Linked DNA regions of Macaca fascicularis. The protein of the gene in region 1 interacts with the protein of each later gene in a pairwise test. Links are inferred from orthologs where the notes say so. Each region holds a gene or a part of one and is shown on either strand. Other genes may lie near its edges.

Region 1 (6,022 bases):
CCACAGGCACCTCCACCATGCCCGGCTAATTTTTTGTATTTTTTATAGCGACAGTTTTGCCATGCTGCCCAGGCTAGTCTCAAACTCCTGGGCTCAAGTGATCCACCTACCTCAGCCTCTCAAAGTGCTACGGTTAGAGGCATGAGCCACTGTGCCCAGCCCCACACAAGTCTTGACCTTCTAGTCTCAAGTGATCCTCCAGCCTTTGCCTCCCAAAGTGCTGGGATTACAGGCATGAACCACCATGCCTGGGTCACCTGAAGTGACCCAGATGTACTAATGGGCAGTACGTCTTGCTCCTTCCGCCATTCTTTGTAGGAGAGAATGTCTCCTGGATCCTGGGTGACATCAAAGGATTCAAATTCTGCCTCCCCTTTATTATTATCATTTTTTTGAGACAGAGTTTCGCTGTTGTTACCCAGGCTGGAGTGCAATGGTGCGATCTCGGCTCACCACAACCTCCACCTCCCGGGTTCAAGCAATTCTCCTGCCTCAGCCGCCTGAGTAGCTGGGATTACAGGCATGCGCCACCACGCCCGGTTAATTTTGTATTTTTAGTAGAGATGGGGTTTCTCCATGTTGGTCAGGCTGGTCGCGAACTCCCAACCTCAGGTGATACGCCCGCCTTTGCCTCCCAAAGTGCTGGGATTACAGGCATGAGGCACCGCGCCTGGCCTTCTGCCTCCCCCTTAATGATCACCTTTAGTTCTGAAAAGTACAGGAAAGCTGCTGAAACAGGTATCATTTCAGCCTACTATCCATTTACTCACATTTATTGAACATCTACTAGGTGTCAGATACTGGGGCTACAGCAGTGGAGACAGACAAGATGATGTGTTTGAGGGAGGATGGGAAGGAATAGAAGTGCTCCTTTAAAAGTGATGACATTGGCGAGGCACAGTGGCTCACGCCTGTAATCCCAGCACTTTGGGAGGCTGAGGCAGGCAAATCACTTGAGGCCGGGAGTTCGAGAGCAGCCTGGCCAACATGATGGTAAAACCCATGTCTACTAAGAATACAAAAATTAGCCGGGCGTGGTGGTGTGTGCCTGGAATCCCAGCTACTCAGGAGACTGAGGCAGGAGAATTGCTTCAACCCAGGAGGTGGAGGTTGGAGTGAACCGAGATAGCGCTACTGCACTCTTGGTCTGAGACCTCAACCCCAACTCTGCATGCTCTGAGCAGCCAGCTCCACCCAGCACTCACCATCCCACCCTTTTTTTTTTTTTTTTTTTTTTTTTTTTTTTTTTTGAGACAGTCTTGCTCTGTCGCCCAGGCTGGAGGGCAGTGGTGCGATCTCGGCTCACTGCAAGCTCCGCCTTCTGGGTTCATGCCATTCTCCCGCCTTAACCTCCTGAGTAGCTGGGACTACAGGCACCTGCCACCACGCCTGGCTAATTTTTTTTTTTTTGTATTTTTAGTAGAGACGGGGTTTCACCGTGTTAGCCACGATGGTCTTGATCTCCTGACCTCGTGATCCGCCCACCTCCACCTCCCAAAGTGCTGGCATTACAGGTGTGAACCACCGTGCCCGGCCATCCCACCCACTTTTGTCTCTCCTCTTCAACATCCCCCTCATTCTGTGGTGTCTCCTGTAGTTGCATTTGTTGCAGTTCACTTGAGCTGAGCCCCGAGGCCCTTCTACCCCTAGTACTGCCTGTCCAGGACGGCCACAAGCATCCAGGCCTGAATAGGATGGATATGGCCCTAGAAAACAGAAAACAGGATTCCAGTCCCAGCTAAACTGGGTATGGCAAGACAAGGACCTGGGTTCCCATGTGCTCATGCTGAGAACTTAGGGACAGGAATTCTGCAGATCAACACAGCTTCACAGAGGCCAGCCAGGGGCTACCACCATTTTGCAGTGAGAATAATGTTTATTGAGAATGGCTCATTACAAACAAAATATATATAAAATCTCTGCGATGCAAAAGATCCCTTTCATCCCCCTGTGGCTAGAATGAACAAAGCTCACTGTCACACATGGCTTCAGGTGCTGTGCTGGTCCCCAGCACGTGGACAGGCTGGGCAGCTGTGGGTGTCATGTGCTGTGGGCAGAAGTCCCCGATGTCCAGGCTCGCTCTCTGGCCCCATTTTCATGACTTGTGCAAGAATGCAACACAGTGTGGCTTACATCCTGCCTCTGTGACCCTCCCTAGGCAGGTGGGTCTTCAGAACGGGCAGCTTTCTCATTCATCTTCCAGGCAGGTGACCTTTAACTGTGGCGTGCCCTGAGAAGCCGTCCTCTGGGACCGCAGACTATTTCTAAACATCTTGGATGGACTGAGGTGCTGTTACCACCCTCCATGAAGGCCACTCCCTAGTGACAGCCCTAACAGCATGTGCACTGTGTCTGAATCACATCCCGCCATCCTGAAAACTTCATTTCCTTCCACTGGTTTCCTTCACACAGCTATCCTCACAATTTTACCAGAACACTCCTGAAGATGCCCACACCCTACAGCTGCTGTGCATGGGCACTCCTGGGCCACCTGGCATTAAGGCAATGGAGATGAGACCAGTCTGGAGCCAACACCGGTCTCTGAAACCCAGAAGGGCTGCCCAGCTAACAGCACCTCCCTCTTGGCCAAAGGCTTTGTCTAGGGTTGAGGAGCAATTTGGCTAGGTGGTCTGACCGCCCTCCTAAACAGAGCCCACCTCTGCCCCCAGAGTCACCTGGTGGGGGAGGGGCCAGCTGCCCCCATGCCCTGCCTTGGGCACTGTAAGAGCAGGACCCAGGAGTGCAGGGATGGTATCACTGTTGCCCCTTTGAAAATGATCAATTTCCCTTAGTTTTTTCGGTACAGACTGGGGTTCAAGGCCCAGCTCCACCATTGTCCTGGGCAGCCTCCCCAGACTGGGCCAGCTGCCTCATCAGCTGCCTCGTCTGTGAGGTGAAGGGGCAGATACTTAAACCGCTGGCCAAGTCCCTTTCTCTGAAAAAGAACTTGAGCTGGCTAACTGCCCTGTGCAGAGGTGTTAGTGGTTCCAAAGTACCTTCACTCTTACGATTACTGTTATACTTGAAGGTGATTACCCCTCAAAAATGAAAACTTAAATCTCAAACAACCCCTGACCCCAACCAAAGAAGAAAAAAAGAGGAAGTAAAGAGCTCTATGCTACTTGCTGTGTTGTAAGATCCTAGGCAGGAACCCCTCTTTTCCGTCAAGATAAAAGAGGCCCAGTATCATGTGCAACCTCGTGTGAAGACCAGGCTGCGTGGGTAGCTGCAGGCTGCCCCTGCCCATTGCTTTGGAGCACAGGCCCTAGCAGCCAACCTTAAAGGACTAGGGGCTCCCCACACTCAGAGGGCAGACCCTGCTGTCAGGATTTAGGCTGGTGTCAGGAGGCTTCCTGGGTGTGGAGATCCCTCTGGGTCTAGGGCAGCTGTTTATTCCCAGAGCACGCACTGTGCCGCCAGCCATCAGGCCTACCAGTGGGATTTAGGCCCAGGCCACACCCCCGAGAGCCCTCCATCTGAGCTGGAGGACCTGGAGGGCTGTGGGTGGCTTAAGCGTCTCCAGGGGCCAGGGCACTGCACGGCAGGGCAGCTGTGAGGTGTGTCTATGCTGGGTGGCAGGGGCCAGACACCCTGTAACGAGCCACAGAAACTTGGGCCCATGGGTAGGCAGGAGACGGTGGTGTCGTCACCCACGGGGCATGGGGGCATATGCAGCACTTCCAGAAGAGAGGGGCCTGGAGGGGTCCTCAGTTCTGGGCGATTGGGGTCAACTATGCTGTCTCCAGACACTCTCATACTGTCCTGACAAGTGGCATTAGTCAAGGGACTTCTCTCTCCAGACTCAGCCCTGCGGTCTGTGTGGAGACCCTTGCCTTGGGTCTGGCTCAAAGGCAACAAGGGCACTGTTGGGACTGGACTTCCTGTGGGCACAGCTGGAGTCAGGCTTGGGGTCTTGGGGTATGCTTCCAGCAGCCAGCAGGTGCTTGGCGTGAGCGACATGACAACACACGGCACTGGCAGACAAAGCAGCTGTGCCACAGTATCCCAGAGTTTCTGGGGCTCTGCCAGATGGGCTGAGGCTGCAGTTCCACATTCCAGCCCCAGCAGCCCCAGGCCTGGGCCAGGGCATCCTGAGTGGGCCCAGCTGGGGTGGGGATGGGGTCCAAGGGCCTGGGCACACCAGGCTCCTGCTGTCAGCTGTCCAAGTAGACAAAGAGGATGTCCTCATCTGTGCCATAGCTGGTTCTGGCCTCCTCAAAGTTACTGATGCTGGTGCTGCACATTCCTGCTGGGGGTGGAGAGGGCAAAACGGGGTCAGTGGGTTGTGAGAAAGCACCTACCCCACCAACACAGTGCCCAGGAGAGCTGGGTGAGGTCTGTGCTCCACCCGCATGGCCACTCCTCTCAGCTCAAGTCCTCCACCCTCAGGAAGCCCTCCTTGCCCATCCTGGTCTTCATGAGCTTTCTCTGACTCCTCCCCAGTTGAGCAGTTAGAGAAAGTGAGGCCCAGAGAGGGGAAGAAACATGCTCCAGGCCACATAGATGGGGTAAGTTTATGTGATCAGGGCGTCTAGGGGCTGTCTCTGTGAATCCAGTCTATGAGAGTCAGGGCGGCCCTTCCCTGTGCCTGGAGGGCAGCAGGCAGGCCAGGATGGGTCTAGAGCAGGGGCTGGCTCTGGCCGGCTTCTTTCTGAGGAATGTGCTGGCCATCCTGGGGGCTGGGGGAGGGGTGCAGCCTGTGCAGCATGAAAGGGTGAGGCAGGGACCTGGGCAGTGGCGTGGGGCCTGTGGTGTGGGAGGGAGAGGTGGCCAGGTTGTAGAGAAGGCTGGCATAGTTTGCTGCAGGTTTGCCTGCATGGCCTGAGGGGTGGCTCCAGTGACAAGAGTAAAGGAGGAGCAGGGGCTTTGGGGAAAAGGTGGTAAGGGAGGCCCTGGCCACACTAGATTGCATGGGTGGGAATCATGGGCACTGGCCATACAGAACAGTGAATGTGGCCCACTCTGCCTCACCCGCCCCACCCAGCACTCACGGTCAGCATAGGCTGGGTTGTTGTAAAAGATGCAGCCAGTGGCCCGGTTGTAGCCGCGCAGGACGATGAAGTGGCCCTGGTAGTCAGGAGTGCGGCAGAAGCAGCGGTGGCCACTGGGGGCGAAGCAGCAGTACTTGACAGGGCTGGAACACAGGTCACAGTGCAGCACCCCAGAGTTCACCAGCACGATGGCCACATGGCCCTGAGCCAGGTGCGCCTGGATGTCCTGCACACTCACTGTGCTGTGGGCAGGAGAGGGGTCAGCTGGTGCTGCTGGGCCCCCATTCCCCATCCCTCAACTGGATCCCTGCTTGTTCCTGTTTCTCTGTTACAAAGCTTGGAGATCGGCTCCTCTTCCCTTTGCCCTGAACTCCCTGCTCTGTCACTTGTGGCCCAGGCTCAGCCTAGAGCCAAGCAGGAGACTGGTATGGTGTGCGTGTCTGAGTGTGCACAAAGATGAGCTGGCCCTGTCAGGCCCTTCACGGGGAGGGCAGTTCAGCTCCAGGTGGGTCCAGTCAAGGGCCACTAGAGCAGCACACAGAAACCATCGTCCTCCTGTGCCCCAGGCTGGTTAGTGAATTCTTTTTGCCCAGCCTTGTCTCTCCTCTACCCTAAATCATATGTAGTTTACGTTGAAAACTGCCTGCCCAATCTAATCCCCTAAATCTAAGCCACGCATGGCTCAGACACTTTCAAAACCAAATGCTTCTCTGAAAGAGTTATTTTACTTTTTTCCTAAGGCTCCTTGTGGCAGAAGGGGCTGCCCAGGAAGGGCTGGGCCACATTACTTCCAGGGGAGCTCCAATTCAGCAATGACATCTGCCTGGAGCCTCCCTCACTAACAGAAGGTGCTGCCCCATCCTGTACCTTCCACTAGGCAGCAAATCCACATGAAAACCTAGAGCAGGGCTGGGCACAGCGGCTCACGCCTGTAATCCCAGTGTTTTGGGAGGCCAAAGTGGAAGAATCGCTTGAGCCCAGGAATTAGAGACCAGCCTGGGCAACACAGCAATAACTGTCTCTGCAAAAAC
Region 2 (5,810 bases), on another chromosome or scaffold:
CAGAGGCCCTACTAGCTCTGTTAGTCTGGAGAACCTTGACTAACATGATGGTAGTTACTTACTGCTCACCAGAAGTCCTAAGAGACTGAATATAGGAATGGACAGTGGCCATGCTATATGTAAAATTAGAAATTCGACCCACAACCTGCAGCAAGCTGCCCAAGAAACCAACACCCCCATCAACAATAAACAACCCATGAGATCAGCCTGCTGCAAGTCAGAGTTGCAGGAAGCCAGATTGCTTTCTTTAGTGACAATCCAGGAAGCTAAACAATAACTTGTATAACAATTGGCCCAGAATGGCCGGGAAATGAATGACTGACAGTTTCTCTAATTTTGCCCCTGCTTCCAACTTAGGAATTTCAGAGAAAGCCAAATATGCACCCTTAGCAAATCACACAGGATGCCCCATCTAGAGGCCAAAGCAACTCCATCTTGGATGCTAATCTGCCGTGTTGGCTTCCGATTAACCCTCATTCCAGTTTATCTATTGTACCTTGTTTAAGAGCAGGTACTTATTGTAAATCCTGTCCTTAGAGTAAGTCACCCTTGATAAACTCATACATACAGTAAATCCTGTCCTTAGGTCAAACAGCCTTGATGTTAGCATACTTCAGTTGTCTTACAAATTCCTTCTCAACCACTCCTCTCCCTATGGCATGTAAGTCCTGGGTCTGGTGGGTAATTATGCTGGGATTCACCAACTTGCCCCATCACTGCCCAAGATACAGTCATGGCTTCTGTTCCTAAGTCCCTATTAAATGTTTCTTTCTAAGAAACCGGATGCCTCTTTGGCCTCTCAACTTCCTTAGACTTTGGTGTAGAGTTACACAGACCTGCCCACTGTGAAACACTTGACTCCAGTCAACCTGCTTCCAGTTTCCCCATGCCAACAGTCTTCACCTAGGACATACCTGAAGGCTTCCCTTTCCTCCACTATAAAACTTTTCCACCCATCTGCCTGCCTTTGACTTTCTGCCAAAACCCAGGTGATGGTGGCTAACTCCCTTGCTATAGTAAGCTAAGAATAGCCTTTCCTTTTCTCATTTGGTTGATCTTCATTAATTTCCACAGCCCTAAGGCCTTGAGATGGCAAGAAATCAGTTCTGGCAGAAACCACAGTGAGACAGGACCTGCCTCAAAATGCTACTGCCTCTAGAGACAGAATTTCCAGACTCAATAGGCATAATTCAAGAGTGTGGACAATACAGAAGAATGTGTATTTTTATGTATTCTCCTCCTACACATCACTGTTATTCATCAGGCTGTATGATATTATTTTAACCAAAACAAATGGCAATATCAAGATTTATTATAAGATGAGAAACCTTTAGTATAAAAACAATTTTTAAGATTTAATTTTTGACTTATGGCTCACTGACAACTTGCTAACTATACACTCAACTATAAAATTGTCTATTTCATTATTTTTTTTAGAGACAGGGTCTCCTTCTGTTGCCCAGGCTGGAGTGCAGTGGCGCATTCATAGCTCACTGCAGTCTGGAACTCCTAGGCTCAAGGAGATCCTCCACCTCAGCTGCCCAAGTAGCTAGGACTACAAGCATGTACCACCAGGCCCAAAAGATTCTATTTTTAAACGTATCTTCCTTTATTCTCAACAACTGTACTATTTCAGATAAAAATATAAAAAGTATTATTTCTCTGTAAAAAGGTGGCCTTTAACCTGCCATATATAGGATTTATAACTAATCTGCAAACACTAAGATTTGGGAATAATAGTTATTTAATTACATTTATAAAAATTAACACAAAAGGCTAAGACCTCTAAGAGCAGTAGTTGGGAATTAAAAGGACCCAGGAATATAGGTTAATGTCACATAATGTAGGAATACCACAATGGGATGCATTTGATAATTAGATTTATTTTTTTTAATATTAAGTACAATCTTAAATCAGTAGAATTTCACAGTAAACTTTTCAAGTATTTGATTTTTGGCTTATGGTAACTAAGTGTAAACCATTGCTTTTAATGTTCTTTTCAATGATATGCAAAAAAAATCACACTTGATTTAAGAACATTCGCTTAAATTTAAGTTCTTCACAAAACATAAAAAATGAATGACCATTATATTGTAAACATGATCAAAATAAATCTTAGACATGAAAAAAGAACATGATCCCCCAAAGCAGCAAAAATCTCACCTCCTTCAGAGGCAAACATAGAGCAAAATTAACAAAAAGATATTAACAGAATTGACCTGTAATTATAATATGACATACAGAAAACTTTTTAACAGAGATGATCCCTAAGAAGATTACAGTTATGAAAGATAATGAGGTGCCTTAAAATTTCCACTTGAAAAATTTGCAAAGGCTCATTGTTGGTCCATTTAATTACTCAGGAAGATTTGATCTTCACAGGAAGCAGCTTCTAATAGCAGCTCTGGAATACTAGTTGTGACTTCCACTTGGAGGGTGCTATAATAACAGTGTACAAGAAAATATGTTATTAAACATATAGGCCATAGCTTCAACTCCTCAAGAAGTCCTTTTACTGAATACTACCATCCTTTAAGCACTTTGACTGAGCTCCCTGTACCTTTATTTATACCCCTGGTCTATTATAGGGACAGAAAAGCTTTAGAGTTCACATGAGACCACTCTTTGTAAATATAGTGACCCCCATGCTCAGGATAAAGCAGACACACATACACATACACCCACACACACACACACACACACACACAATAATAAGACTTACTGCTGCCTTCAAAGCTTGATCTAGATCTTCCAGTAGGTCTTTCTCATCCTCTAAGCCCACAGAGAGTCGAATCAGTGTGTCACTAATTCCAAGGACATCTCTGTCATTCTTAGGAACTGATGCATGAGTCATGATTGCCCTGAAAGAAGACATGAGCAAATTTTTTATCACTATATGGTGTCAGTGGAGGCATGTTTCTGTCTCATAAACTGCAATTACCCTCAAAATTTTTCTGCTCCAAATATCAAATTTTGCATACCCCTATAATTCACAGGCAAAAAAAGAGAAAATTATGAAACTTATTTCTTCGAGCTATGATTTTAAGTGAAAAGCAAGATTTTTTTTAATCTTCTTTATACCTTCGGCAAGATATGCTCAATCCAAACACTGAAAGTGTATGTCAAGTACCCCCGTGCAGTAGGGTAAGGCATAGCCTCCCCAGGGTGTAGATTTCAATACCTGCCTACATGAGGCTTTGGCCAGAAATCGTGTACTCTGTGACCAACCTACTGGACTGTTACTTACAAGAGATCTCTTGGACCAAAAGCCTGTCATAATCAGTTTCCTCTGGATCAATTCAGAGCTGGACCTTCTGAGGCACATCGGAGAAAGACCACCAAGAATCACTAGTAGCAACCACTATGCATTCAGAATTCTACAATATAACTCCTGGCATAGAGGCCTAGAAGGATTTTTCAAACTATCTAGCAGCTCATTACCATCATCAACAGATGTAAAGGAAAAGCACCCATATGTCAAGCACTGCAGTAAAAATTGGGAAACCAAGAAGAATGAGATGTTTTCTTTACCCTAAATAACAAAGCAGGAGCTAAAAACTATGACAATTCACAAAACAAAATAGTCTATATAAACAATGCCAAACAGGTATAGACAAAAACACTGCCAAAGTTTCAAGGAAGGAGAAATTTCTGTGAAGAATAATGGAGGAGAGGCTTAGCATCTCCCTTAGCCCCAATATGTATACTACAGCCAACACTCTTCGTTTCCCTGCATGCCACCCGCAAAATCAATACCTAAGCTGCTTTCTCCTTTCTTACATGAGAGCCATGGGGGAAAAAAAAACATCTCAGTTGTGGTCTGAGTGATGGATATCTTCCTTTATCACACTACTAAAGTGTTTAGATAGAAACATCCATCTTAAAATGTTCTGCCCTGGGAGACTCATAATTCCTTAAAAGAATGTGTACATGTAGAAATAAGAACTCAGGTCTCAGAGACCAACAAACTTGGATATGAATCTTAGCCCCTCCACATACTGGCTGTGTGGCCTTATAAAAGTTACTCATCCTCAGTGCCTATTTCCTTATTTGAAATAATAACAGATGCACCTACTGTATGCTTACTATGAGGCAGATACTCTACTAGCTGGTTTGCGTGCATTAATTCATTTTTTTAATGAATAAAAATTGGATATGACACCTGTCTTCAAAGTTTGTCACAGGCATTAATTTGAAGGAACATGGATAAAGCACTTCGAAGCACTTGGAATGTAGTAGAGATGCCTAATAAAAGATAATAGTTCATAGTAGGTGCTAACATTTACGTGGTACTTAGTATGAACCAAGGCATTCGCTTAGGGAGATTTTTTCCCATGTTCTCACAAAAAACCTAAAAGCTATGTAGAGTGTTGCCCACATTTTAAAATCAAGGAAATTGAGATTTAGGGAGGATGAGTAACTTTTCCAAGGTCACAGAGTTATATGTGTTGTGAGGCTGGGAGACTAAGCTAATAAACATTATCTTCACTTCCTCCCTCCCGTATTGCAATGCTCTACTAGTAGCAGCAGAGTTGGGAGACACAGAATGAAGGGTCATAGAACAGACAAGCCCTGACCTAAATCCACCCATCCTCTGGCATCGCGGTTATAGCCTAAACCAGGGTGTCTGGGGGCCAAGCAACTTTAAACAAAAATCCCTACGTAAATCAGGAGAGATTTAAGACAAGAGAGTCTCAAGGTAATACACATTTCATTACTATGAAAAATAAACCCATTTCCCATGCTGAGTGTGCCCTCTTGTGCATCCAAACTTACTAGCAGGCATCTTCTGGAAAGACTAACAAAAAGCTGTGTTCAATGAATTATTTCAAGTCATTATTTGGACATCTTTTTTTTTTTTTTTTAAACTTTGTGAGACTGCCTGACTTTCTGTCTAACTGTAAACTCCTAAACAAAGACAGAAAAGAGGCCTAAACTTTGGTGGGCCCTGACATTTCTCCACACAATGCTTGCATAACAAGTTATTCCACAAATGTTTATGAAAATGAAGACACAGAAATACACCGTATATATTTAGTATAGTTAAAAATAGTTAGGTTATGATGTTGACTTAACCCTGCAATAATTACAACATATGGCCATAGTAGCATATAATAAAGGTAATATATATATCAGGAATGCTTGGTGGTACAGGTAATCAATAAATGAATAATCATTAATTTTTTGTTGTTGTTTTGGTTTTTTTGAGACAGAGTCTCACTGCGTCACCCAGGCTGGCGTGCAGTGGTGTGATCTCGGTTTGCGGCAACCTCGGCTTGCCACAACCTCCATCACTTGGGTTCAAGCAATTCTCATACCTCAGCCACCCAAGTAACTGGGATTATAGGCGTGCACCACCACGCCCAGATACTTTTTTCCTTTTTTTTTTCCAGTAGAGATAAGATTTCACCATGTTGGCCAGGCTGGTCTTGAACTCCTGACCTCAAGTGATCCACCCACCTCAGCCTCCCAAAGTGTTGTAATTGCAGGCATAATACATTGCACCAGGCCAAAAATCATTAATTATTAATCTCATTTTATGGGTTAAAAAATGGAAGTTTAAAGGTTAACTAATTGGTGGAAGCAGATCTCAAATCCAGATCCAGGCACCTTTTACCTCCCCTCACTGTTTCTGATGCAAATCCAAGAGTGAAGTTGCTAACATGTTCCTATGTGACACTTGAATCAATCAGCTCAACCTTCTGGATCTTTGTTTCCTTGCCTGTAAAATAAGCTGTTGGACTGTATGATCTTAGGCTGCTTCTTGTACCAATATCCTCTGATGCTTTGATAAAATTAGATGAATTGAT

The links. The genes of interacting proteins can lie anywhere in the genome.
Region 2: the proteins of GUCD1 (region 1) and CTH interact in binary tests that used the Homo sapiens proteins (3 or more experiments, as listed by UniProt). The two-hybrid records come from large-scale screens. The link is inferred for Macaca fascicularis from reciprocal best matches to the Homo sapiens genes GUCD1 and CTH.

The regions. Positions count from the first base shown.
Region 1 is NC_088384.1:28,892,010-28,898,031, reverse strand, and holds the end of GUCD1 (protein GUCD1), read right to left. Parts: intron 5,234-6,022; coding exon 4,992-5,233; intron 4,250-4,991; coding exon 4,155-4,249; 3' UTR 1,857-4,154; downstream 1-1,856.
Region 2 is NC_088375.1:164,243,553-164,249,362, forward strand, and holds the end of CTH (cystathionine gamma-lyase), read right to left. Parts: intron 2,862-5,810; coding exon 2,723-2,861; intron 2,440-2,722; coding exon 2,413-2,439; 3' UTR 1,864-2,412; downstream 1-1,863. UniProt on the Homo sapiens protein: Catalyzes the last step in the trans-sulfuration pathway from L-methionine to L-cysteine in a pyridoxal-5'-phosphate (PLP)-dependent manner, which consists on cleaving the L,L-cystathionine molecule into L-cysteine, ammonia and 2-oxobutanoate.